Linked DNA regions of Arabidopsis thaliana. The protein of the gene in region 2 interacts with the protein of the main gene of each other region in a pairwise test. Each region holds a gene or a part of one and is shown on either strand. Other genes may lie near its edges.

Evidence for each region. The genes of interacting proteins can lie anywhere in the genome.
Region 1: the proteins of FEI1 (region 2) and ACS9 interact in a two-hybrid assay, tested with the Arabidopsis thaliana proteins (one study listed by BioGRID).
Region 3: the proteins of FEI1 (region 2) and ACS5 interact in a two-hybrid assay, tested with the Arabidopsis thaliana proteins (one study listed by BioGRID).

What each region holds. Positions count from the first base shown.
Region 1 is NC_003074.8:18,431,583-18,438,872, forward strand, and holds ACS9 (1-aminocyclopropane-1-carboxylate synthase 9), read right to left. Parts: upstream 4,560-7,290; coding exon 4,413-4,559; intron 4,320-4,412; coding exon 4,188-4,319; intron 4,104-4,187; coding exon 3,943-4,103; intron 3,861-3,942; coding exon 2,888-3,860; 3' UTR 2,867-2,887; downstream 1-2,866. Other genes in the region: AT3G49710 (Pentatricopeptide repeat (PPR) superfamily protein), read left to right, coding at 6,263-7,290. UniProt on the Arabidopsis thaliana protein: 1-aminocyclopropane-1-carboxylate synthase (ACS) enzymes catalyze the conversion of S-adenosyl-L-methionine (SAM) into 1-aminocyclopropane-1-carboxylate (ACC), a direct precursor of ethylene.
Region 2 is NC_003070.9:11,245,640-11,255,633, forward strand, and holds FEI1 (Leucine-rich repeat protein kinase family protein), read left to right. Parts: upstream 1-3,978; 5' UTR 3,979-4,720; coding exon 4,721-4,820; intron 4,821-4,910; coding exon 4,911-5,046; intron 5,047-5,121; coding exon 5,122-5,193; intron 5,194-5,270; coding exon 5,271-5,342; intron 5,343-5,441; coding exon 5,442-5,513; intron 5,514-5,807; coding exon 5,808-5,879; intron 5,880-5,962; coding exon 5,963-6,034; intron 6,035-6,261; coding exon 6,262-6,350; intron 6,351-6,443; coding exon 6,444-6,602; intron 6,603-6,708; coding exon 6,709-7,041; intron 7,042-7,116; coding exon 7,117-7,365; intron 7,366-7,441; coding exon 7,442-7,575; intron 7,576-7,658; coding exon 7,659-7,877; 3' UTR 7,878-8,276; downstream 8,277-9,994. Other genes in the region: AT1G31400 (TRAF-like family protein), read right to left, coding at 69-286, 471-637, 736-842; AT1G31410 (putrescine-binding periplasmic protein-like protein), read right to left, coding at 1,455-1,898, 2,015-2,176, 2,312-2,494, 2,583-2,717, 2,881-3,129, 3,225-3,364, 3,445-3,706; AT1G31430 (Pentatricopeptide repeat (PPR-like) superfamily protein), read right to left, coding at 8,386-9,994.
Region 3 is NC_003076.8:26,327,880-26,335,808, reverse strand, and holds ACS5 (ACC synthase 5), read left to right. Parts: upstream 1-2,996; 5' UTR 2,997-3,110; coding exon 3,111-3,389; intron 3,390-3,493; coding exon 3,494-3,654; intron 3,655-3,740; coding exon 3,741-4,713; 3' UTR 4,714-5,063; downstream 5,064-7,929. UniProt on the Arabidopsis thaliana protein: 1-aminocyclopropane-1-carboxylate synthase (ACS) enzymes catalyze the conversion of S-adenosyl-L-methionine (SAM) into 1-aminocyclopropane-1-carboxylate (ACC), a direct precursor of ethylene.

The sequences.
Region 1 (7,290 bases), on a different chromosome or scaffold from region 2:
TCTTAAGTAATAGATAACTAATTGTACATTCTGTCAAAACCCCTCGACGTTATGTAAACAAAGCCATATAAAACAATGATTGGCTTGGCGACATATAGCTTTACGACAACTAACAATGACTTTTATTTATTTGCTTACATACAAGTAAAAGACTTTGTCAAATAAAAATAATTAAAAGGACTTCTACAACATAATTAATTTTGATTCAATAATCCAGCCGATGTCGACACGCACTAGAAGAACGTTAAAAAAAATTCCAAAGTTTTTCTTTAAAAAAATGTCATTGTCTTAAAAGAAGGAAATCTCGACGTCAAAAAGAACTAAAAGAAATCTGTTTGTAACAGAAGATATTGACACTTTTTTATTTGTGGGAACGAAATTTTATTTTAGTTAAAAGGAGTGTGGAAATGGAATAATCCAATTGTTCTAGTGTTTGACGATTTCTTGTCATCTGCTTATGGCAAACAGAACTGAATTTTATTAAATCTGGTTCACATGATAATCATATTTTGTCGAAATAAAAATTGACCGTTAAGTGGTTCATATATATATATATATATATATATATATATATATATATATATATATATATTATATGTTAAGAAAAAAACTAGATTTTTATAGCTAACCAAAAATATGGCATACGACTGTATGAGAAACAATAGAATCCACATCCACTCATCAGCTAGACGTTTCTACATTCTTAGAGTTTGAATCAAACTATCAAGAAAAAACTTCTATGTCATGACATTATAGACCAAATCTTGCATGCATGTATCGTACTACAGTCTACATACTTCATACTTGGTTGGTTCCATATAAACTTCGCAATTGATACACTCTGTGTATATTATGTATTCTTGATTTGCCATGTTTTTCTTTACATTAACATAGATAATAGATCTCTAAGATCTGCTTTAGTTTGTTTTCTTCGTTTTCTTTTTTGTTAGGCCTCCATATTCTTTTTCTCTTTATCCCCCACCAGTTTTAGTCGCAATATATGTGTCCGTTTTTAAAAGTGATTATGAAAATACAAGGCTTTTGTGGCCCAATCACTTTTTATGGCCCGACGAGTATTGGATTTTTCGCTTGAATTTGTAGCAATTTTTCGAGTCGTGTTTATTTTGGAAGTTACTTGCATTAATATGAATGCATAGACTATATGCAGGACAGGACTGACTATATGTATAATTATTTTCTATTGTTCGTTCATGTCATGGCATGGCATGTGCAAGTTATGGCCTAAGCTCATGAACCCACGTGACTGTATTCCTCTTTGTACATATTTTACATGTTAATCATGAGTTTTTTATATTAGTTTATTCAAAATTAAGTTCACATCAACCATATTGACGAGAATTTATATTATCTTGGACAAATATGTCAAACAATGACGAGACATAATTCCCTAATAAAAATATGTGAATCTACATTTCGATCTATCGTTATAGAAACAACCGACCACTTTGCTTTTTGTTATAGATATGTGTGATCTAAATCATATCGAGACAACCTCACAAATCTCAAAATTTAGTAATATACGGTCGATAATACAGTGGACAAATTCTGGTTGGGTCGTATGCAACTAATAAACAGCATTGAACTCAAATCATATGAACATCAACCAAAATTCTCAAAATCAATTTTACGTGTTTTTATTATTTCTTTAATTGGAAAATTCCTTATATGTTATACAACCCAACGACCACTATAATGCTCCTCACATGTAAAGATTATATGTCGTCACGGCCGATTTCTCCGCGTTTCATACAAAAAGGGGAACAATATCGTCATATTTGGAAATTTTGTTAAATCTGCGTAGTATAATTCGAATAATTCGTTCGTAGAAGTACCAACAAAGGTTACAAAAGCACATGAAAATTATGGAATAATATATTTTGAAGAGATTCACTATATATCATGTCTACATAAAGCATCATAATCTTTGACCGATATATCATATATGATAAAATGATATTGATCGTCTATAACTGGAATAATAATTACGATTCACAATATGTTTTAGATTCATGAATTACTATTAATGAGAAGTTGACAAAAAGAATATGTAGCTAACTAGCTATTAATGAGAAATTAGTTTTTCATTCTAAAATCCAAATGATGACCACTATTAGGCCTAATAGTCATTTCTTCAACCTGAAATAAAAAAGTATTGATTGACATGAAATGCTTGTAGGTTTCTAATTTATGTAGCATATATTTTTTCTATTTGTTTTTCTGATCAAATATCGTAGCATATATCATATTTCTCTGGATGTAATATAACATGTAATTTTTTCCATCGTATAATGGATAGTTGTCGTAAACTAAACTTTAATTTATGTTGTTCGTTACGTTATGGACTAAACCTTCTGATTCAATATCTAAGCAAATCGAAAGTAGTTTTCATGTTATCGTTTGTTTTTATGTGTGTGTAAATATATATATGGCTAATATTTGTATACTGCGAAATGTAGAAATGTACATATGTTATATATTTTCATGGATATAAACTTTCCTTGACATTACAGGAGATAGATATATAGATAGCCATTACAAATTCAAATTTGGATTGAGTGCACTTAATGCTAGTAACACTTATATCCAAAAAAACAAAAAAAATTGGCTACAAATTCTCAGGGAAACATTTATAAATAAAAGATAAAAAAATAATATAGTTGATATTAAAACCCAAAAAAAGAAAGAAAGAAAGAATATTTAGTAATATCATTATTTAAGAAAATGTAACAACCATTTTCCAAAACAATAAAAAACGATTATATATATATATATATATATATATATATATATATATATATATTATTGTAAATGAAAAAAATTGGTAGGAAGATTTGCTTTGTCTTAACTTGGGGCGATGAATATACTTTCATCGTTCATCAGGTACACGGTCGGTCCATGAAACCCGGAAAACCCAGTTGGAGACAGTTCTCTTCCTCAAACTCTTGATCCTATCATGACTGCTTTTTGAAATCACTCTTCTACTATCTGTTGACTCTACGTACTCTTTGAGCCTCTTCATCGCCAAATCAAGCGTATCTTCACTCATGTTGGCGAAACAAACCCTAAACCAACCCGGTTCAGTACAATGGCACGATGAACCAGGTGAAATATTCAGCTTGACGTCATATACAATCTTCTTCCATAGCTCAAGTTCTGCTTCGAATGTGTTTGTGTCCAAAAGATGTCTCATGTCAACCCAACAGAACAAACCAGCGTTGCTTTTAAGACAAGTAATCCCTGCAGCTTCTAGACCGGACACGAGTTTCTTCTGACGAATCTTGAGTCTTTTCTGGTTTTCGTCGAGGTATGTACTTGTGAACTTCTTGTCTGAAAGCAATGCAGAGAGAAGGTACTGTGTTTGAGAAGACACGAGACCGAAACTTGACATTTTTGTTGCAGCGGAAACAACCATTTCGTCGTTGGAGTAAATTGCTCCTACGCGAAAACCTGGTAAACCGAGATCTTTGGAAAGACTATAAACAATATGAACTCGTTTGGAGACTTCGCTGTTCTCGAGGTTCTTGTCTTTTAAGACATCCATGACACTTACAAACTGTTCAAACCCAAAAACGGTACCTGAATAGATCTCGTCGCTTATGAGATGAATGTTTTTGGAAGTAATGAAGTCAACGAGAAGGTTAAGTTCTCTTCTGGTCAACATTGTGCCAAGAGGGTTAGACGGGTTGGTAACAAGAACTCCTTTGACCTTAAGATCAAGCTTTTGAGCTTGTTGATAAGCTTGTTGAAGAGCTGACTCTGTTATTTGGAACCCATTAGAGCTTGAGCAATGAATAGGTACGATCTCTGCTCCCGTTCTCCATTTCAAGTCTCTATCGAATCTGTATGCATAAGCGAATCAAATACTATCAGCTCAGGTTTCTTGTGAGGCAAGTAATTAAATAAAAAAACCTAAAAAATTACCCTGGATAGTAAGGAGTTGGTAAAAGGAAAGCGTCCCCGGGTTCGGCGAGACAAAACATGAGAGTTTCGTTGGCAGATGTTGAACCAGCAGCTAGGACAATCTTGCTTGGATCAAATGTTACTCTATTTCCTCTGATTTCCTCCATAAACTCTGCCAAAGCCTATAGATAAATAAACCCTATTAAGTTAGTTACTCGCTTCTTGATCGAGTTACTTATGAAGGTGAAAAAAAATTAATTACTTACTTTCTTGAATTCGGGTAGGCCATGATAGTCTTGAAAGAGAGCAAGCTCTTTGAAAATGGATTGGCCGTCCTTTTTTAGTCCGGCTGCGTCCGGATTCTTAGCTAACCATGTCTCTATGAGATCAAAACATAGCTGCATGCATATTAAAAACATCGTATTAAACACCCAAAAATATACAATAATTAAAGATTGGTCGATTGGTCGAAAACTCGTAGTTATAGTTACCTGATTTTCGGCAAGACCCATTTGAATAATCCCATTAGGGTTCTTGATTTCGTCGTAAGGGTTCTTCTCGTATTCTTCCCATCCCAAGAAGTAGGAAGAGTCTTGTCCATGAGCATTGCTTGTCACTTTTCTCGACAGTTGTTTCATTTTTTGATATAAAAATCAAAAAGAATGTTTGGTTTATTGAAAGATGACTAATGAAGAATGGGAGAACGGTAAATGAGAGAGATATGTTGAATTAGGTTTTAGTTAGTTGGTGAAGACTGAAGAGTGAGATGTGGAATGTGGTTGCTTGTGGGAGCTATATATATATATACTTCCGTTTTTTACTTGACGTCACGTAGCTAGTAATTTATTAGTAATCATTTATCGTCAGTTAGTATATATTTTGCTAATCTTATACTACAAATCTAAAGAAAATCTCTCTTCCTATCTCTATATAAAGTTAAATTGAAAAAGACTCAACAATTATTTCAAATTTTGAAGTATGTGTGAAATTGGGTTAATTAAAAACAGAAGTAGACTAAAACGTTATAAAATTTTAGAGGAAGTAGAATAATATTGTTTAACCCTCACTATATATATTATTACACAAACACATGAGAGATATAAAGAAAACGATAATAATGATAATTGGATAGGTGAAGTAGAATAGAGAAAAGAGAAAGCTTGACACATAGTTAAACAAAACAAAATTAGTTTTGTCCATAAAACGCGTTTTCGGTCACCGCCCATACATACATGACAATGAATTAGCGACCAAAACAATACAAAATCTATTTTTAGATCGAATGTCATGATATTGTGTTGGGGATTTCACCAATTGTGTTTCGGGAGTTATCTGAGATGTTTATGATTATTACTGCGGTTATGCTTATAATACAAAACTAGTGGACATTAGAGATATTAAATCTGAAGAAAAAGTGGCCGCCAAATTGAAAATAAATAGTAAATTTTGATTGGGAGTTTTGGGAATTTGAATATCTCCGAAGCCAGTAAGACTAAGCTTAGAAAAAATTTTAAGATCCATTTCGGATTTGGACATTTAGATCCGAACTCGATAATTTCATGATCATGCCACTAGGGTTAATCAGACACAAGGTCCAAATTAAAAAAAAAAGTGTATTATTCACAATTTCTGGTTATGAATCTTTTGATTTAAAGATGTTATTGTTTCTAATTTACAATTTTTTTTTGACGATTTTAATAAAAGCATACAAAATAAAGAATAGAAAGATTCTAAATTATTGTTAGATCTAGAGAGTTTTCTATAATCTTGTTGATTAGTTTTCCACAATCTTATAAAGTTTTCCAAATAATCTTTCTATTTTAATGATATTTTTGATGACTTTATTTTGTAAAGGAAAATATCAAAAGTTATAAACTAATAACATAATAATTTAATTCATTAATAATCATAAATTCTTTTATTTTAATTGAATAACACAAAAATTTTATTGACTTTCTAAAAGTATGAATCAAATAACTGCATGAAAATTTTAGATCGCATTTTACAAATTTTAAACTAATACACTAGATTTTAATAAACTTTTAAAAAATTTTAACTGAATAACAACAGATTCTATATAACATTTAAATCACAAAAACTCTATTTAATTCGCACACAAATAACATCCCACTGTATATATCATCACGTGCTTGCCCAAAAAAATTAAAAAATAAACGAGCCCATAATAAATGGGCCTTGAACAGATTCTAAGCCCAAGTCAATTAACGAAAAATAAGAGACGAAACGAAAACTTATGACTTTGTTTACCAGTCTTCTTCTGAAAACAGAACTTGCAAATGCGAGAAACATACAATCTCTGAGGTTCACTTGTCACTATTAGATGAATCAGACGCCATGGAAGTTCAAAACTTTTCGAGACCTTCTACTGAAATCTGTAGCGGAGAGAGATCTCTTCACTGGGAAATCACTTCACGCGCTCTACGTGAAATCCATTGTAGCTTCGTCCACTTATCTCTCAAATCACTTCGTGAATCTCTACTCCAAATGTGGTCGCCTTTCCTACGCACGAGCCGCGTTCTACTCCACGGAAGAACCCAATGTCTTCTCTTACAATGTAATTGTCAAAGCTTACGCGAAAGATTCGAAAATCCATATTGCACGCCAGTTGTTCGACGAAATTCCCCAACCAGACACTGTCTCTTACAATACTCTTATCTCGGGGTACGCTGATGCTAGAGAAACTTTTGCCGCAATGGTTCTGTTTAAGAGAATGAGAAAATTGGGATTTGAGGTTGATGGGTTTACGTTATCAGGGTTGATAGCAGCTTGTTGTGACCGTGTTGATTTGATAAAGCAGCTTCACTGTTTCTCTGTCTCGGGAGGGTTTGATTCGTACTCGTCTGTGAATAACGCGTTTGTTACGTATTATAGTAAAGGCGGGCTTTTGAGAGAGGCGGTATCGGTGTTTTATGGGATGGATGAATTAAGAGATGAAGTTTCGTGGAATTCGATGATTGTGGCTTATGGGCAGCACAAGGAAGGAGCAAAGGCATTAGCTTTGTATAAAGAAATGATCTTTAAAGGATTCAAGATTGATATGTTTACATTGGCAAGTGTTTTAAATGCTCTCACTAGCTTGGATCATTTGATCGGTGGCCGTCAGTTCCACGGTAAGCTGATCAAGGCTGGATTTCACCAGAACTCACATGTGGGAAGTGGTTTGATTGATTTTTACTCAAAATGCGGGGGTTGTGATGGTATGTATGATAGTGAGAAGGTATTTCAAGAGATTCTATCGCCGGATTTGGTTGTTTGGAATACGATGATTTCTGGATATTCAATGAACGAGGAACTCTCTGAAGAAGCTGTGAAGAGTTTTAGACAGATGCAACGTATTGGACATAGACC
Region 2 (9,994 bases):
TACACACTAAACCATATATGCAGCTTGTGCAAGGAAGTGGATTATATAGTTACAAGTACTTTTCTTACCTGTGAAGGAAGAACTTGAAACCCATTGACATTGATGCCTCCATTAACTAACAAAGTTTCCTCTAACACATCTGACTTGCCAACAACTTCAAGAACACCAACCTCGGCAACAATCTTGACTTGGCCACTAACCAAAAACCCACCATAAAGTTCTGTAAGTGGAAGCATTACTTGGGAACCGAAGGTAAGAGACCTCGGGTAAAACCCGCCCCGTGCTACTGTAAAGTCACGAAACTTAGAAATTTAGTTAAAACAAGGATTGCACAACACATACATAGGATCTCACTACAACACAAGTCCTATGAGTCCATGACAAGTAGAACCATAAAATATTGACTTTCCTTTGTCCGCCTAAATTAGAAACATAATCTACCAAAGGTAGAAAAAAGTTGAAAAACTCACCTTCCTGTTTGGAGAGTTTCTCCGACATTTGATTAACAACAGTAAGACGATATATGATGTGTCTTTTCCAACCAGAAGGCAAATCATCAGGATCAGGAACACCAAGAAACAGAGACAAACATTTATTAATGCTATCACCATATCCCTTGGGATAGGCCAGAAGATGCCTACAAGCATAAACCAAAAACCAATAAGCAAAGGGTAATATCAAGTAAACCTAAAATGAAACGCAAACATTAGCAAACATAAGAGAACAAGTTTTTACCATTTGGTGTCCCCAACTACAAAAATATCAAAATAAATTGCATGAGATTGCAAAGAGGAGAAATTCTTAATCGTCCATGTTATCCTCTTTTCATATTGGTCTGCCATTGATCTTAATGAAGTCTCCTTGCAACCAAACCAAAACAGAAATACCAGAGGATGAAGAGAGACTAAATCCTAGAACCGAGTGTCACACTACCATACTTGATAGAGAAAATTATCACACAACAACTTTTATAAGTAAACAGAATCGAGAAAACGCAGAGTCACTCACTTTAAAAGCATATAATACGTGTTTGAATGTGACTCGCGTTGATTACGAAAACTTGAGGAATGTGAAAACGCTTCGGCTCTTCATAGCTCATTGTTGGGCTGATAGTCCCAAGAAAAAGAACATTTAACTTTCCCTTGTTCATTTTCAAAACAAAGCATTCATTAACACCGTTTTACATGATATTTACCTCTTAGATGGCCAATAAATTAAATAATGTTAGGTTATATTAGGCGTTTTGTGTAGTTTAATTTAATTTATACACTTGTTTTGGCATCTATAGTGTTTGAACTAACGACTAACTAGTAACATGAGCAAAGGCGATCAGCCTCTGGCTCTTCATGACATGATACTCTGTTATAAGGAGATAGAAAACCCCTTATGTTAACCAACATGAAGTTGCTCTATGTAATCATACAAATGATTCCATTTCCACTTTTGTCCGTCTCTCAAATGTTCTTATTCATCTCGGAGTCAAGCTTTGCCCTAAATCCTCGAACCTTAATTGAAACAATGTCCTTTAGTTTCTCCACAAGGCCAGGTCTTTGGCTTTGCTTCCTTACAGTTTCAATCAGAAGCCGATATTCCGATAGCGTAGCCTCTGGTAAAGGTTCCAAGAACTCACACTTAGACAAGATCTCCGGAGGAGGAACACCTGTGACCAGGTTTGTGTCCAGTTTTGTTCTGTCTTTCTTTGTTTTTTCGGGTTCTGTAACCAGAGGACCATCAAGAGCTGAAGGAGATGCACCAGGAATTACTTCCCGTGTGAATGGTAACGATCTTGCAGGTTGCAAGCAGAATTCTATCCACTGGTTGATTAATGGAGATGGGCCTCGGACTCGTCCTCCTCTTTGTTCTGCTTCTTTACCAGAGTCAGAAACAGCCGGGATCGCCTTGAAAAACAATTATGCTTCACGGTTTAGTGTCCAGATATGTTATATCGTCTTTAGAACAAGAAGCATTCAAGATATCAGATGAAGGGTTAAGTGATTTTACGACGGTAACTTACCCATAGATCAGCCCATAAGGTGGCACCGGATTTGGGAACAATCACTGTAACATTAGACATACGTTTTGCGACAGGGATAACATCGCTGCTCCAACCAACAGTGACCCAGACATCTCCGACATTGAAAGCTTTTAAATAGTTGTTACTATCAAATAGTCTAATCTATAAGCAAAAGGGGAAACAAGATCAGCCACCATTGTCATTTTTTCTCAATAACTATAGAGGTTGAGTGAAACACGTCAGCCTAAACTCATCTGTTCTCTTTAGGGTATGGAGAGATAGTAAAGAGGTAATAACCTGTTTCATGAGTGATGCCAGATTTTTCTCCACTGCTAATCTTCCGCCAGGAACTTGTGAATCCAGGTCTGTCGTATTGTATGATGCTCTCATGTATTTGAGAACAGCACCAACAACCTCTCTAGGAGAATTCACCATTGCGATCCTTCCTGCAAGCTCGGGTCGCCACAGATCAGCCCAGTCCTAAATTCAGCAAAATGTTCAGTGATATTCACTTCTTTTAAATAGGAAAACACTAAGACAGCATTTAGCAACAACAAAGTATACCAACCTCTATCGGTGCCAATTTATAATTCTGAAATTTGCTCTTTTTGTATGCTATAACCATGGTGCCCCAGCGGTATGGCACAGCCCACGTTTCACCGTCAGGAGCTTTTTCTCCCGCATAGTTCCTGCGGAGATAAATCTGAGACTTTCTAAGTCATGAAATGAACCCTATGAACATTCCCAAGCTAGCAGAGTACGAAAACAAAACACATGAAAGATTATGCCTATTAAAATCTCTCAAGCTAGTGTTCTTTCAAAAAGACTCATATTCATATTGTTAAACCACTGATTTAAATTCTCACCTTCCATTTATCACTCAAGCCTTTATACCAGTCTTGATCTTCTATCCCTTTCATTGGCTCAATTAGCTTTTCCTTAATAGCAAAACTAAGCCAAGAATCACCAATGCTGATCATATCAGCTGCTGCAGTTGAAGCAGCCCCCTTTTTTCCATTCTTACTTGGTTTCGATAGATCGAAAAAGATCTCTTCAAGATTTCCTCGAAACTGAGTCTTTAACCTCACTCTCTTCCCTTGTGAGCTCATAAACTCCTAAATTCCATTCACAGAATCCAACAACATACATTTTCAACTATAAGCTTAAGATTCAAAATAGAAATGGAAACACAGACAAGTGAAACTAAAACCTTGATCCATGATGGTGGCACTGAGCCACGCAAGGCAACGAGTTTTAGCGGGACAGTAAGAGAATACACTTTAGACTTGTACGCTTCGAAATCAGCTTCCAGTTTTTCTTCATCTTCAACTTCATTTAGATTCTCTTCACCTGCAAAAACATTCCATTGGAACACAAAATTCAAATCCATCGAAATCCCAAGAGTGACGAAAATGTTCAATTTCACGCACCAGCTACAGTTTCTGTGTTGATTTCATTCTCTGTAACGACAATCGGCGGTGGTAGTATTCGAGCGGAGGCCGGAGAACAGACGCGGAGGCTACTTAAACCGATGAACAACACGGTCGAGGCAGAGAGACCAACGATCCTCTCATGAAACCGTTCGTCTCGAGAAACTCGTGCAATGGTGATTCCCCTTCCTCCGTCGCGTCGGTTTCCTCCGCAGTAGAAGCTCGCCGGCGGTTTCACGGAAATAATCGCCGCCGTAGCCATCGATATAACGCGATGGTGAAACAACGGACAACAATGGCTTCTAATCTCAAACCGGTTCAATCAAACCGCTGGGCTTATACCGTAATGGGCCTTAAAAATGGGCCCAATGATTTCGACCATTGTAGAGATTAGGCTTAGCTAAGGTCTAGCTGGCAATAATAATTGGGTTTTATGAAGAAAGCGTCGGTTGACACGTGTGGGAGGTCAAGATCGGCACGTGCGAGACCCACTTCGTTTCTTCTCATTGGTCGTATGCTTTGGAGAAGAAAGCATCTTCTTCTTCTTCACACACTCTCTCTCTCTCACTCTAGTTTTCTCTCTCTTCACTCTTACCATAAATCACACAAACAAAATAAAAAGTCGATTCCTTTTTTGTTTTTTTTATCTTCTCCTTAAGTTATATTTTTTTTTTTTTGCTTTACAGCTCAAATTAGTCATCTTCTTCTTCCTCTGTCTCAATTCTTCCTCCTCTCGGATCCATTTTTAGAGGTTCTTATAATTCTTACTAATTCTGTTTGCTTTTAAAGCTATAACCTTTGATATTGTTGGAAAGAGTGGGGTTTTGGGTCTTTTGCTGAATCGTTTTTTGGATTTGTTATATTGTTCGAATCTTCAGTTGTTATTGTGTTATAGGATTGGATGGTATCTGGGAATTTCGTAATCTATGTTAAGCTAGAGCTGTTTTTGAGCTCTTTTGTTGATGATGATTTTGAGATTGTTGGCCGAATTTAGCTCTCGTTTTCTGATTTTAGCAATTGGAAAGTGTGTATTGGTTCTTGTGAGGCAATTTCACTGTTTTGAGTACTCAAAATGTAGATGAGAGCATGCATAAGTTGTGTGGAGACTGAGCTTAATGTGTAGTGTAATTGACAATTAGTTTTGTGGGCTTTCCTTTGTTTTTCAGGAGTCTAGTTTCTTACTTGAACATAGACATGGAATCAACTAATAACTGACAACCAAGAGGCTGTTCTTTTCAAATGATTGGTAGTAGTTATATTATGCTTGGACAGTGCCATGATGGGCATCTGTGAGATGAAAAGCTGCTGCTCATGGCTTCTTTTGATCTCGTTGCTTTGCTCACTATCTAATGAAAGTCAAGCGATTAGTCCTGACGGTACGTCGATATGAATCAACTATTACTATTCATAGCGTCCTGGACCTTTTATTGAGCTTTAATCCTTTATTGCTTGTTTCCATTCTTCAGGCGAGGCGCTTCTGAGCTTCAGAAATGCAGTTACTAGATCAGATAGTTTCATCCATCAGTGGAGACCGGAAGATCCAGATCCATGTAACTGGAACGGAGTGACATGTGATGCAAAAACGAAAAGAGTTATAACCTTGTAAGTTTTCAAACTTGTCAAGGTTTACTGGTTTTCTCTTCAGTATTTGTGCTCCCTAATACTCTTGTTTCGCAGGAATCTTACTTATCACAAAATAATGGGACCTTTACCTCCTGATATTGGAAAGTTGGACCATTTAAGGCTTTTGTATGTGCTCTCTAGCCTTATTCATTTTTATTGCTTAAGAGAGTACTTCGATTCTGATCATCTGTGTGTCATTGCAGAATGCTTCACAACAATGCTTTATATGGAGCAATACCTACAGCATTGGGAAATTGCACAGCATTGGAGGAAATGTAAGCGCTTTTCCAGGATTTTATACTGATTCCACATGGTTTCTGAGAGACCAATTCCAGTTGCTTATGGTCATCAAAATTGTCCAACTGGTTTTGCAGTCACTTGCAGAGTAACTACTTCACTGGACCAATCCCAGCTGAAATGGGAGACCTGCCTGGCCTTCAAAAGCTGTATGTTTTTTTCTCTTCCCTATACGTACTTGCAAGTGCATCCTTCTTTTAGTGTATGCAATATCTATTTGTTTTTTGTTTTCATTTACTTCTATCACCATCTAGGATCATGGTAACATATGGTTGACTGCATAATGTCTTCTCATGCACATTATATTCAGAACTAGTTATACCTAAACTCTTGGTGAGCAATTTGAAAAGCATGATAATGTATTGTTTACTTCAGATTCACATATTGATTGTTCTCTTTTCTCTACTAAAACTGACTTTTGACTTTTTTATTTTATTTTCAAGGGACATGTCAAGCAACACTCTCAGTGGACCTATCCCTGCTTCGCTTGGGCAGTTAAAAAAGCTTAGTAACTTGTGAGCACCTTAATCTCTAACTTCCGCTGTAATTTATCATATTGCAGTCCTGTGAATCTTTCTGTTTCGTTTGTCTTATGAAGCAATGTCTCGAACAACTTCCTGGTGGGGCAAATACCTTCAGACGGAGTGCTCTCTGGATTTTCTAAGAACTCGTAAGACAATAAACACCCTTTTCTTCTTGTAGGGATAGAAAAATAAAGCCTCTAAAGTTACATTTTTTTTTTTTTTTTGTCAATCCTCTAAAGTTACATTTATACAGCTGATCTTTCATATTTCGCTTATATTCGAGATGATTTTTTGAACCACATAACTATTTAGCTAGATTGTATCAGTGCGACTGAAATTATATGATTCTCAAACTGATGCGTTACTACTACAGCTTCATTGGAAATCTTAACTTGTGTGGAAAGCATGTTGATGTCGTGTGCCAAGATGATAGTGGAAACCCTTCATCACATTCTCAATCAGGTAAAAGCAATTATGAATTTCTTGTGATATACAGGTTTTGTTGTGGCTCTCTATCAGTAAAGTTATATTTATTTGGTGTCTTATACTTTATAGGTCAAAATCAAAAGAAAAACTCTGGTAAGCTGCTGATTAGCGCATCAGCAACTGTAGGTGCGCTACTCCTAGTTGCACTCATGTGTTTCTGGGGATGCTTTCTATATAAAAAGCTCGGTAAAGTCGAGATTAAAAGCCTTGCAAAGGATGTTGGTGGAGGTGAGCCGTATTGATTTTTTTTGTACAGATATTATCTCGTTAAATATTGGGAAATTTCATATTTTTCTCTATCTCCTAAATCTTCATTGTGACTTTTTCAATTCAGGTGCGTCTATTGTGATGTTCCACGGAGATTTACCTTACTCTTCCAAAGATATCATTAAGAAGCTGGAAATGTTGAATGAAGAGCACATAATTGGATGTGGAGGCTTTGGAACGGTGTATAAGCTGGCCATGGATGATGGCAAAGTCTTTGCATTGAAGAGAATTCTAAAGTTAAACGAAGGGTTTGATCGGTTTTTTGAGCGGGAGCTTGAGATTCTTGGGAGCATCAAACACCGATACCTCGTGAATCTACGTGGATATTGCAATTCACCAACATCAAAGCTACTGTTATATGATTACTTGCCCGGTGGTAGCCTTGATGAAGCACTTCATGGTATGATCAATCTGCTCTTTATGGCTCTCTTCCATATTATGAATGATTCACTGAGAAGTTTGGTTCTTGAATTAGTAGAGAGAGGCGAGCAATTGGACTGGGATTCACGCGTAAATATCATCATAGGAGCTGCGAAAGGGTTATCATATTTGCATCATGATTGTTCTCCTCGGATTATACATCGTGATATAAAGTCGAGCAACATTTTGCTTGATGGCAATCTCGAGGCACGGGTATCGGATTTTGGTCTAGCCAAGTTGTTGGAAGACGAAGAATCTCATATCACAACCATTGTTGCAGGCACATTTGGGTACCTAGCTCCAGGTACATATGCCTTTTAAAAGTCTTTACTTACATAAAGATTTGATCTTTCAAATGCTGAGACTTTTCCATTTGACAGAATATATGCAAAGTGGTAGAGCAACTGAGAAAACCGATGTATACAGTTTTGGGGTTTTGGTTCTTGAAGTCTTGAGTGGGAAAAGACCAACCGATGCTTCCTTCATCGAGAAAGGCCTTAACGTTGTTGGTTGGGTATGCAAATAAGATTCTTTTTCAATACTGATATTTTGTTACGACAAACTTGACTAAAAAAGCTTTTGACTCATGATTTACAGCTAAAGTTCTTAATCAGCGAAAAACGGCCAAGGGATATTGTTGATCCAAACTGTGAAGGAATGCAGATGGAGAGCCTTGACGCTCTACTATCAATAGCAACACAGTGTGTGTCTCCGAGTCCAGAAGAGCGTCCAACGATGCATCGGGTTGTCCAGTTACTTGAATCAGAGGTCATGACTCCTTGTCCCAGCGAATTTTATGATTCCAGCTCTGATTAATTGCATAAACCCACCAGTCGAAACCTCGAGAAAAAAAGTAAACCGAGTCCGGTTTCCCGGGGAAAGCCTTCAAATGCTATTCGATTTCCGTTTTTGCTCCCCGAGAAAACCTGCAAATACCAACGAAGAGCCATAATTTTCCAGTTAATGGAACAGAGTCTTTGTGTTGTGTTGCCATTTACTTTGCCCCTCCAGTTTTACCAGATTCGAGCCATTCATTTTCAGCCCTTTCTCTTTTTGTTCTGATTTTTGGTATAAAAACTTTTATTTGAACATGAAATTGAATTGTATAGTTGTGACCTTTGTAGAAAAACTACTCTCTGCCTTTATGTTCTTTTGAAATAATCCATGTTCCTTCATCTTCTTCTTCTTCAGTCTCAATCAATCCTGATTCAGTTACAGAGAAGCTGATATCGATTCAAAACCAACATCGATTCAAAACCGGTTCATTAGCAGGGAAACAAATGTTAATGATAAGGGAAGTAGTTAGAGAATGTACAAGAAAGTTTCAGCTATCAATTTCTTTATGTTCCAAATCCAACATCAAATTTGTCGTTTGATGCAGCATTGAGTTGATCTCATCCATTTTTGGGTGTGATAATAGATCATCTCCAACAATAAACTCATGACCAACCCCATCAATCTCGATGGAGCTGCAACCAGGAAACTTTCTGATTCCCAAATCTTTCATTTTCCTTCTCACATTAGTTACATCTTCCCATCTATTAGCAGATGCATATACACTTGCAAGCAGAGTATGAGCACTGGAATCACTTACTTCCACTTTCTCAAGCTTTTCCGCTACCCGTTCTGCTATTTTTACATTCCCATAGTTCCTAGCAGCACTAAGTAAAGAACAGTATACAGGAACTAGAGTTTCATCGCTTTCACCACGCATCTTATCTATCAATTCCTCTGCTTCATCTAACAAACCAGCTCTGCATAGTAGGTCAATCAGACAGCTGCAGTGCTCTGATTTAGGCTGGACGTTATGTCTTTCGGTCATCGAATGGAAAATCTTACGGCCTTCTGCTACAAATCCACCATGATTGCAAGCTGTTAAAACCGCGACAAATGTTATAGCGTCTAGTCTAACACCAACATTTTCCATTTCGTAATACAAGTCCAGCGCTCTTCCTGACATCCCGTTCATCGCAAGACCGTAGATAAGTGATGTCCACGAAGCTGTGTCTCTCTCCTTTATTTCATAGAAAACCTCTAGAGCTGTCTCAATGCATCCACATTTTGCATACATGTCTACAAGAGCAGTACCAACTACTTTATCTACTGTAACCCTGTTCTCATTTATGTACCCATGAATCCATTTTCCTTGCTCTAAAGCTCCCGTTTGCGCGCAACCTGTCAAGAGAGAGACTAGCACGAAATTATCCGGCCTAATTCCCGCAGTTTGCATGCACCTGAACAGTTCCAATGCCTCATCAAACCGGTTAAACTGAACATACCCATTCATCATAGCTGTCCACAAAACAACATCCTTTACAGGACTTCTCTCAAACAAAACTCTAGCCTCATCAATCCTACCAGTACTAACATACCCAAAAACCATACTAGTCCAACACTTAACATTCTTGTCTCTCATCGAATCGAAAACCGCTCTAGCCTTATCGAGACACCCACATTTACAGAACATATCCACCAACGCATTCCCAATCCTAACACTCATTTCAAATTCTGTAACAACAAACCTATAAATCCTTTCACCAATTTCAAGATTCTTCAAAGCCGAACAAGCCGAAAGAGTGCTCACAATTGTACCTTCATCAAACTTCAAATTGCTCTCCTGACTCATCCGCTTAAACACACCAATGGCATCCTCAAACCTCCCATTACCAACATAACTAGAAATCAACCCATTCCAAGAAACAACATCTCGTTGAGGCATTTCATCGAACACTTTATGTGTGATCTCTATCTTACCCAATGAAGCATACATTCCCATGAGTGAATTAGATACATAAGAATCGAACTCAAGCCCAGCTTTCACAGCATAACCATGAACCTTCTCACCTTCTATAACCTTCCTCAAACGACCAATTGACTTTAGAACAACCGGTAACGTGAAATTATCAGGATACAATCCTTGTCCTCGCAATTCA
Region 3 (7,929 bases), on a different chromosome or scaffold from region 2:
TTCTTAAACCCTATTTCTACTGCATCTCCATGTGCCTCCCCTCACGTCTCTACCTTCTCTCTCTATCTGTTTTTTTTTTTCAATCAATAACAAAAGAAATATTACATCATTTTCCCTTTCATCATATCTTTAACCAGCTAAAACAAGTTTGAAGCGAATTTTGCATATATACAGTCCCAACTTCGTCAATTATATTGAAGTTCGTTATCTTTTTTTTTTTTTTTTTTTTTTTTTTTTTTTTTTTTTTGTATGTGTATGTGTGTGTGTGTGAAATATCGCGATTAATAGTTTAAGAAAATTCTTCATCAGAATAATAGATTATAATATTTTCAAAGATTTACTTGTTTTTTGATTATTTTGATTTTATTAAAATCATATTGTTGAGACAATGGTATTATGGTCATGAAGAACCTCAAGTGTTTTATGTATCAATTGGCAAATTTCAGCACAAGTGAATTTTTTTCTTGATTATTTTCTACTGTCTATACATATAAAATAGAGAATATAATATAACAACTTTGAGCTATAATTAGAATCTGTTGGAAAAAAATGAAAAAATATAACAAATATATTCTATCTTGATTTTTCAAAGTATAGAATCTAAAAAAAGCTATATGATATTAATTATCCAATTATATGATTGCATTTATGAGTTGATATGATATCTTTTGGTTGTTTCATAAAACAGAATCAAGAATAAGATGATCAATACCGAAATATATGGCTTCATCATCAAATATTATTTCACATGTGATTCTCCAATGTATCATTATTAAGAGTTGTTATACGAGGACCCATTTTTTTCGCAGCAATCAAATCAATTTGAGCTTTTTAATTAAAATCTTCAAAAATAATCTGAGAAAATCACAGCGTCTCATTAATTATTAAAAAAGTACTTCAAAAAAGTGGATATACGATTTTGAAATGATAACGATTTCCTGACGTCAGAAAAAATCCTATAACAAACATTAATGTTTTTTTTTGGTTAGTTAAGAGACAATAATATGTTACATCTACCAAAGAATATTCCAGTTAAGTTAGTTAATAGTTGGAGTCAAACTTAAACGAACAACGTCGCCTACAAATCTGGGGGTATAAGTTATAACCAACGGCCACCAACATGGGTTTTGATATCGTCCACCTGATTTTTATGTTAATATAACTCAATTTGATTGATTAAATATTATGCTCTTATACTAATCATTCTAGGTCCAAAACTGAATCACTCATTGCACATCATTTTTATGATTTTTATTTTGAAAATCTCATGTTTCAAGAAATATTTGTGCATTCTACTAGTAGCTTATTTTAAATAAAGTTTCGAGTTTATATAATAAACAATATGTTTATTTCTTTGATTTGTATACATTTTAAAAAAAAAAACAGGATGAAGATATATACAACTAAAGCTCAATTCAACTAGTAGGAAAATTGTATTCTACAAAAAATTTGTGTTTATGTTTTTATTATGATAACCATCCAAACTCATTATTTCACCCATGATCAAAGTAACTATATCAATATATCTGCAACAATATCTGACTCAACATTTATTTTTACATAAACTGCGGACCAACACAATTATGCTAAACTATCATCATTTATTCTATTGGTATTGGAGATCAGTCTACGTCAGTGAATACCGCATAATTCACATGAAACTAACTCCAAAACCCTTTAACCAAAAAAAAAAAAAAACTAATTACAACTCCGGTTAACCTGTCGATAATTACAAGACTGAAAACATCCTAGTCAGTAAAAAACATATTTGTATGTATCCGATCCCACCAAATAAATAAGTTGTTGTCAATGATAGAGGAAGAGAAAACGAAAAAAAATTGCGGACCAAGACATTTGGGACTACTAGAGTTTAGGGAGCATAAATGGTCCTATTTGACTTACCCTCTACCGTATAAATAAATGTATTTTAGCCGTATAAATGTATACATACGTAGATGCATAGGTATACAGGATTACTTTAGACGATTTGATGTCGGTATGACATTACATTTGACTCCCCTAGCTCCACTTGTCTCTGTTCATTTTTCTTGTATGTCATTTCCTTGTTTTCCAATTTTACGTTTACCACCCTATTTTATTTTGTTAATATTTTCTAAGTCAACGTGTTGACACTTAATTACAGAATCTGATAACTAAAGTTACATAAAATGCTCACAGTTTTTTTCAGCAAAATACTCACATTATACGACATATAAAATTTTAGCAGTCTATAAATAGTAATTATTTGGCATTAGTATTGGACAAGAAGTAGAATATAAATTAATGTTGGTTCTTTTTTCTATCCAACTTCACACAGCCAATTTTGTAGCTGACATCGTGAATGGACGACTAAACTAATCATAAGCATAGTGATTCAGTTTATACAACAACAACAAAAAGTTAATTACATTTGAGGTTTCTTTTTAAATTGCTATGTTTGGTCCCTAAATGATGGTCATAATAAGGACGGTCCGGCGGTGACGGAAACGCGTAAAGACTAATCATTTTAGTACTATTAATTTGTAGAATTATTATTAAATATGCTTGAATCCTAGAAAACGATCAAATAAATTTTGGAAAGAAGCTCAAAATGTGTTATTTAATTTTGTCCCTATGTAGAGCTGGTTTTTTTATTTTTATTTAAACATAATCCTAAGATTTATTGCTGTATGTGTGAATGCAATAATAAATAGAAACTCAATAATAGATCATTCTTATTTTCAAAAAGAAACAAGAACTACTGCAATGTTTTAATTGTTTATTTTGTATTAAATAATATAGCTTGTTAATTATTGGAGATCGCATTAAATAATAAAAGAAGTTGTCTCACATGTCTTGGAGAATATTTACTAAAAACTATGGTAATGTCTGGACGGTCAAAAAAGTCTCTCTAGTTTCTGATTCTGTTGTCACATTTTATTTTTGAAATTAAATGTCGTTAGATTATTATTATCTATATATATATATATCCCAACAGACCCATTGCTTCTCCAACCACATCTCACTCTTCACCAACTTAAACCCTAATTCAAGATCTCTTCTTTTCGTTCTCTCCTTCACCCACATTAGTCTTCTCTACGACCAAAATCTCTTGACTTTAAAAACAGAGAATGAAACAGCTTTCGACAAAAGTGACAAGCAATGGTCATGGACAAGACTCATCCTACTTCTTGGGATGGGAAGAGTACGAGAAGAATCCTTATGATGAGATCAAGAACCCTAATGGGATGATCCAGATGGGTCTAGCCGAAAACCAGCTATGTTTCGATCTAATCGAGTCATGGTTAACTAAGAACCCAGACGCGGCAAGTCTCAAGAGGAACGGTCAATCCATTTTCAGAGAGCTTGCTCTATTTCAAGACTATCATGGCATGCCTGAATTCAAAAAAGTAAGCTTCTTTCATTTTTCTCAAATTCAATAAAGAGAGTAACCTGACGTGTATCACAAGTAATGAATCCATTTCTCATGAACATTTTCTGTCATTTTTTACAGGCTATGGCTGAGTTTATGGAAGAGATAAGAGGAAACCGTGTCACGTTCGATCCAAAAAAGATTGTTTTAGCGGCTGGTTCGACATCTGCGAATGAGACTCTCATGTTTTGCCTTGCAGAGCCTGGCGATGCTTTCCTTTTGCCTACTCCTTACTATCCTGGGTAAATTACACTTCTCCTCTTTACTTGGATTCCAAGTAAACCCAATAGAAATATATGCTTACGTCTAGGCTTTTTTATGATTACAGATTTGATAGAGATCTTAAATGGAGAACCGGAGCAGAGATAGTACCCATTCACTGCTCAAGCTCTAATGGCTTCCAAATCACGGAATCAGCTCTGCAACAAGCTTACCAACAAGCCCAGAAACTTGATCTCAAAGTCAAAGGAGTTCTTGTCACGAATCCATCTAACCCACTTGGCACTGCGTTGACCAGACGTGAACTTAACCTTCTCGTTGACTTCATCACTTCCAAGAACATTCATCTCATTAGCGACGAGATCTATTCAGGCACTATGTTCGGGTTTGAACAGTTCATAAGCGTAATGGATGTCTTGAAAGACAAGAAACTCGAAGACACGGAGGTTTCAAAACGAGTCCACGTCGTTTATAGCCTTTCTAAAGATCTGGGACTTCCTGGTTTCCGTGTGGGAGCGATCTACTCCAACGACGAAATGATCGTTTCAGCAGCTACAAAAATGTCAAGTTTTGGTCTTGTTTCTTCTCAGACACAATACCTTCTCTCTGCATTGCTCTCCGACAAGAAGTTCACTAGCCAATACCTCGAAGAGAACCAGAAACGACTCAAGTCCAGACAGAGACGCCTCGTGTCTGGTCTTGAGTCTGCAGGGATTACTTGCCTGAGAAGCAACGCGGGTTTGTTCTGTTGGGTCGACATGAGACACCTTTTGGACACAAACACATTTGAAGCAGAGCTTGACCTCTGGAAAAAGATTGTTTACAACGTGAAACTAAACATATCACCCGGTTCTTCATGTCACTGCACCGAACCGGGTTGGTTTAGGGTTTGTTTCGCTAATATGAGCGAGGACACACTCGATTTGGCCTTGAAGAGGCTCAAAACTTTCGTAGAATCCACAGACTGTGGACGAATGATATCAAGAAGCAGCCATGAAAGGCTCAAGAGTTTGAGGAAGAAGACAGTCTCTAACTGGGTTTTCCGGGTTTCATGGACCGATCGTGTACCTGATGAACGATGAAATTATTCATCTCCCTAAGTTTGAGACGACGAACAAAAGAAAACTTCACGGTTTTTTCTTCTTCTTTATTTCCTTCATTTTTTATATTTTGGGAAAGTATTTTTAATTTTCCAAGATATCTATAATCATATCATTATATATGTAATATTTTTTTTAATGTTTGGGTGAGTCTTTAATTTATGCAATTTTTCGGGTGTAAAATTGTTACTATGTGTTATTATATGTTTTTAATGCACTCAATCCGAATGTGGATTTGCAGTGGCTATATATATAAATAAATATATATCCCGTTGTAATTTTAGTGAAACGTTTGTGTGTATTGTACCCATATATAAAAATGTAATTCACTCTTTTTAGTTTATATATATTTTGTTTTATAAATATGGGTTTCTTTAATTTTATGCTCTATCATTTGGTATAGTTTTTGAGTTTGTTGTGAGAATTCTCCTCTGACTATAAGGCTATAAAGATCGTGTTAACGTTGTTGGTTAAGGACGTTAGTTGAGGCATATCAAAAGGAGGCTTAATTTAATGTCAATTAACTAATTAATTAATCATTATATGGTAATATGGCGGGAATTGTCGAATTGGTCAACTGAGAAAGCAAAAGGGGAAAGTCAAAGGTTTTCCACTTAGGTGAATCAAGAGAGAAGGTATGATCTACTTGTCGAAAATATTCGATGAAGCCTAAATAATTTAGTTAAAAATCGACTAAAACCCATTAACAATTTCGGGGTAAAGGTAGCTTCTAGCGTTCTACGGCAGTAAAGTTTTGAGCTTTGAATAGGTACGTTGCATTGCGTAAGAATGTTCACGTCACATATTTGAACTAAAATTACAAGTTTACAACGAAATCCACATTTTTTTTTTGTATAATCAAAACTTACTCTATCAGGATTAACGTAATTATAAGAAAAAAATGAGCAACTTATGAGAAACCGAAATCTGTATATCGAGAGCCATGGTTGATTGATATATATGTTAAGGAGGATATGTCCCAATGATTACAATGATTATAGATTTATACATTACAATTCCAATCATCGAAATCAATAATTTTCAAAAATTTGAGGATGAAAAGGCTCCAATCATTTAAAGAGAAAAGTCTTTATAACCATTTTTTTTTTCTTGTGAAATTATTTCCCGAGGGATAAAGTAGAGGATAAAGTGTCATATCATCATAGGCTAATCATTATAGTATAAGATATAAGATACCGGTCAAATGTTATTATGCTAAGCCTATCACATAAAAAAAAAACTAAAAAAGTGCCATGAGCTTTGTTGGTACTACGAAGAGTAGACTACGAAATATATAATACAACTTTAGTAACCGATTTTGTTTTAATTTTAGCATGATACGCGGCTATACCGGCCGTAACGGCAAATGATCCTTACATGTGAACAGCATTAATGTGGTGGTTGAGTCCCCAAAAATCTGTCTCAATTAATTAACAATTCGATTATAAAAACTTAACAGAGATATGTAGTAGCAGTACGTACTTTGAAAAATAAGAGATTGAGAATTTGGTTGGATTTGAGAATCCGTGAATGAGTAATACTGATTAAGTAATATTCTACTTAAAAGTCTTTATTGCATATGACCGACCATAACTATACAAACTGACATTATGAAGTCGTTGTACCAGAAAATTTTCGTCATTGTCATGGTCGTAGTCTACTTGCTACTATAATAAGCGACATTGGAATGATATTTGATATTATCATTCCATAAATTGTTACGTCAACTGGTGCCACATACTAATCATATAGTTGGTAATGTAAGAATACGTTTTCTTGTAAAAATGTTTAAAATATTGTTTTACCCAGTTCTAAAAGTAGATATAGATTATGGAAGTTTATCTTTATCAACGTATTGTAAAGTAGATATAGATTATGGAAGTTATGTACATATGCATGTCAAGTTTGAACCAAAATTTCAGTCACGTGGGCTTCACGAGTGAGGCCATATAACTGCACATGCCATGACACAGAAACATATAACATCTCTTATGCATACACCTATAGTAATCATATTTATATATGCATAACAAACAAATGAATTGTAACGATTTGTTTTTTACTCCATATTTGACTTCGACCGATTGGACATATAATTTGGAATTCAAATTACATCAATTATATGCCAGGACCCCTTTGATGTTCTTCATGTATGCATGAGGGGTCATCTACGCATGGCATTGCTACTTACGTTACACATACATACTTGATCCATACATAACATAACATTATGGGGAAATTTTCAGAATTAAATTTTTTCATATATTATAGTATTCTCTAATATACCATGTGGGTCACGTTAGTTTTTCTCGTACTTGATGCATAGCTTATGAATCGAGAAGTCACTAGCTATTTATATATATATACGAATATATCTTTATAACTATAATTAGAACGATAGAACTTAAATTAATGATGTGCTTCGTACATACATCCACTTAATATGTGCACGATTAAGAAGATTCATCGCACATATGTTACGTAAGAGACAATTATCAAATCACGCAAAGATTTGTTTCTTTGGCTTAGATGCACCGTCTTCAATTATAATATAAAGTCGATTTATTAATTCTCATGGAGTTTATCAATGTTCATCCTCTTCTTCCCATCTTTTCGAACATTGTTTACCCAAATTAATCTCTCTTTTTAATTATTATTATTATTTGACTTTTAAATATAGTTCCTTTTTCAAAGATAATAATTTTAGTCGGCTCGTCCTGCCTTTCAGCCTAAGTAATTAGTGTCATATAATGCTTAGTTATCTAATTCAAAGCCAAGAACCAAGATTGGTAAATTAATAATTTTCCTTTCTAAATCGTAACAAATGGGCTTTTACGGGGCCTTACTAGACGTGCCATTGCCATATGTTTCCCTCAAAAATGGGCTTTATTGGGCCTTACAAGTCTTTTTGAAGCAAAGAAAGAGTTGGAATCTAATTACCTTTGACCCAAAAAAAAACAAAAACTAAATAATCAAAACCGATATTGCGAAAATAATCAGTGATATATAAATATATATATATATATATATATATATAAATATTATTTTTAAAGTTGACAAATATAAAGTAGCGGACATATTCCTGTATCTATCTTTTTCCCATAAGCAGATAACAAGAAATTGCCAAATCATCTACGTAACGGAAGCAAGCAGTATTATAAATTTAAATATGTAAAAAGTTAAAACACAAAAACAAAA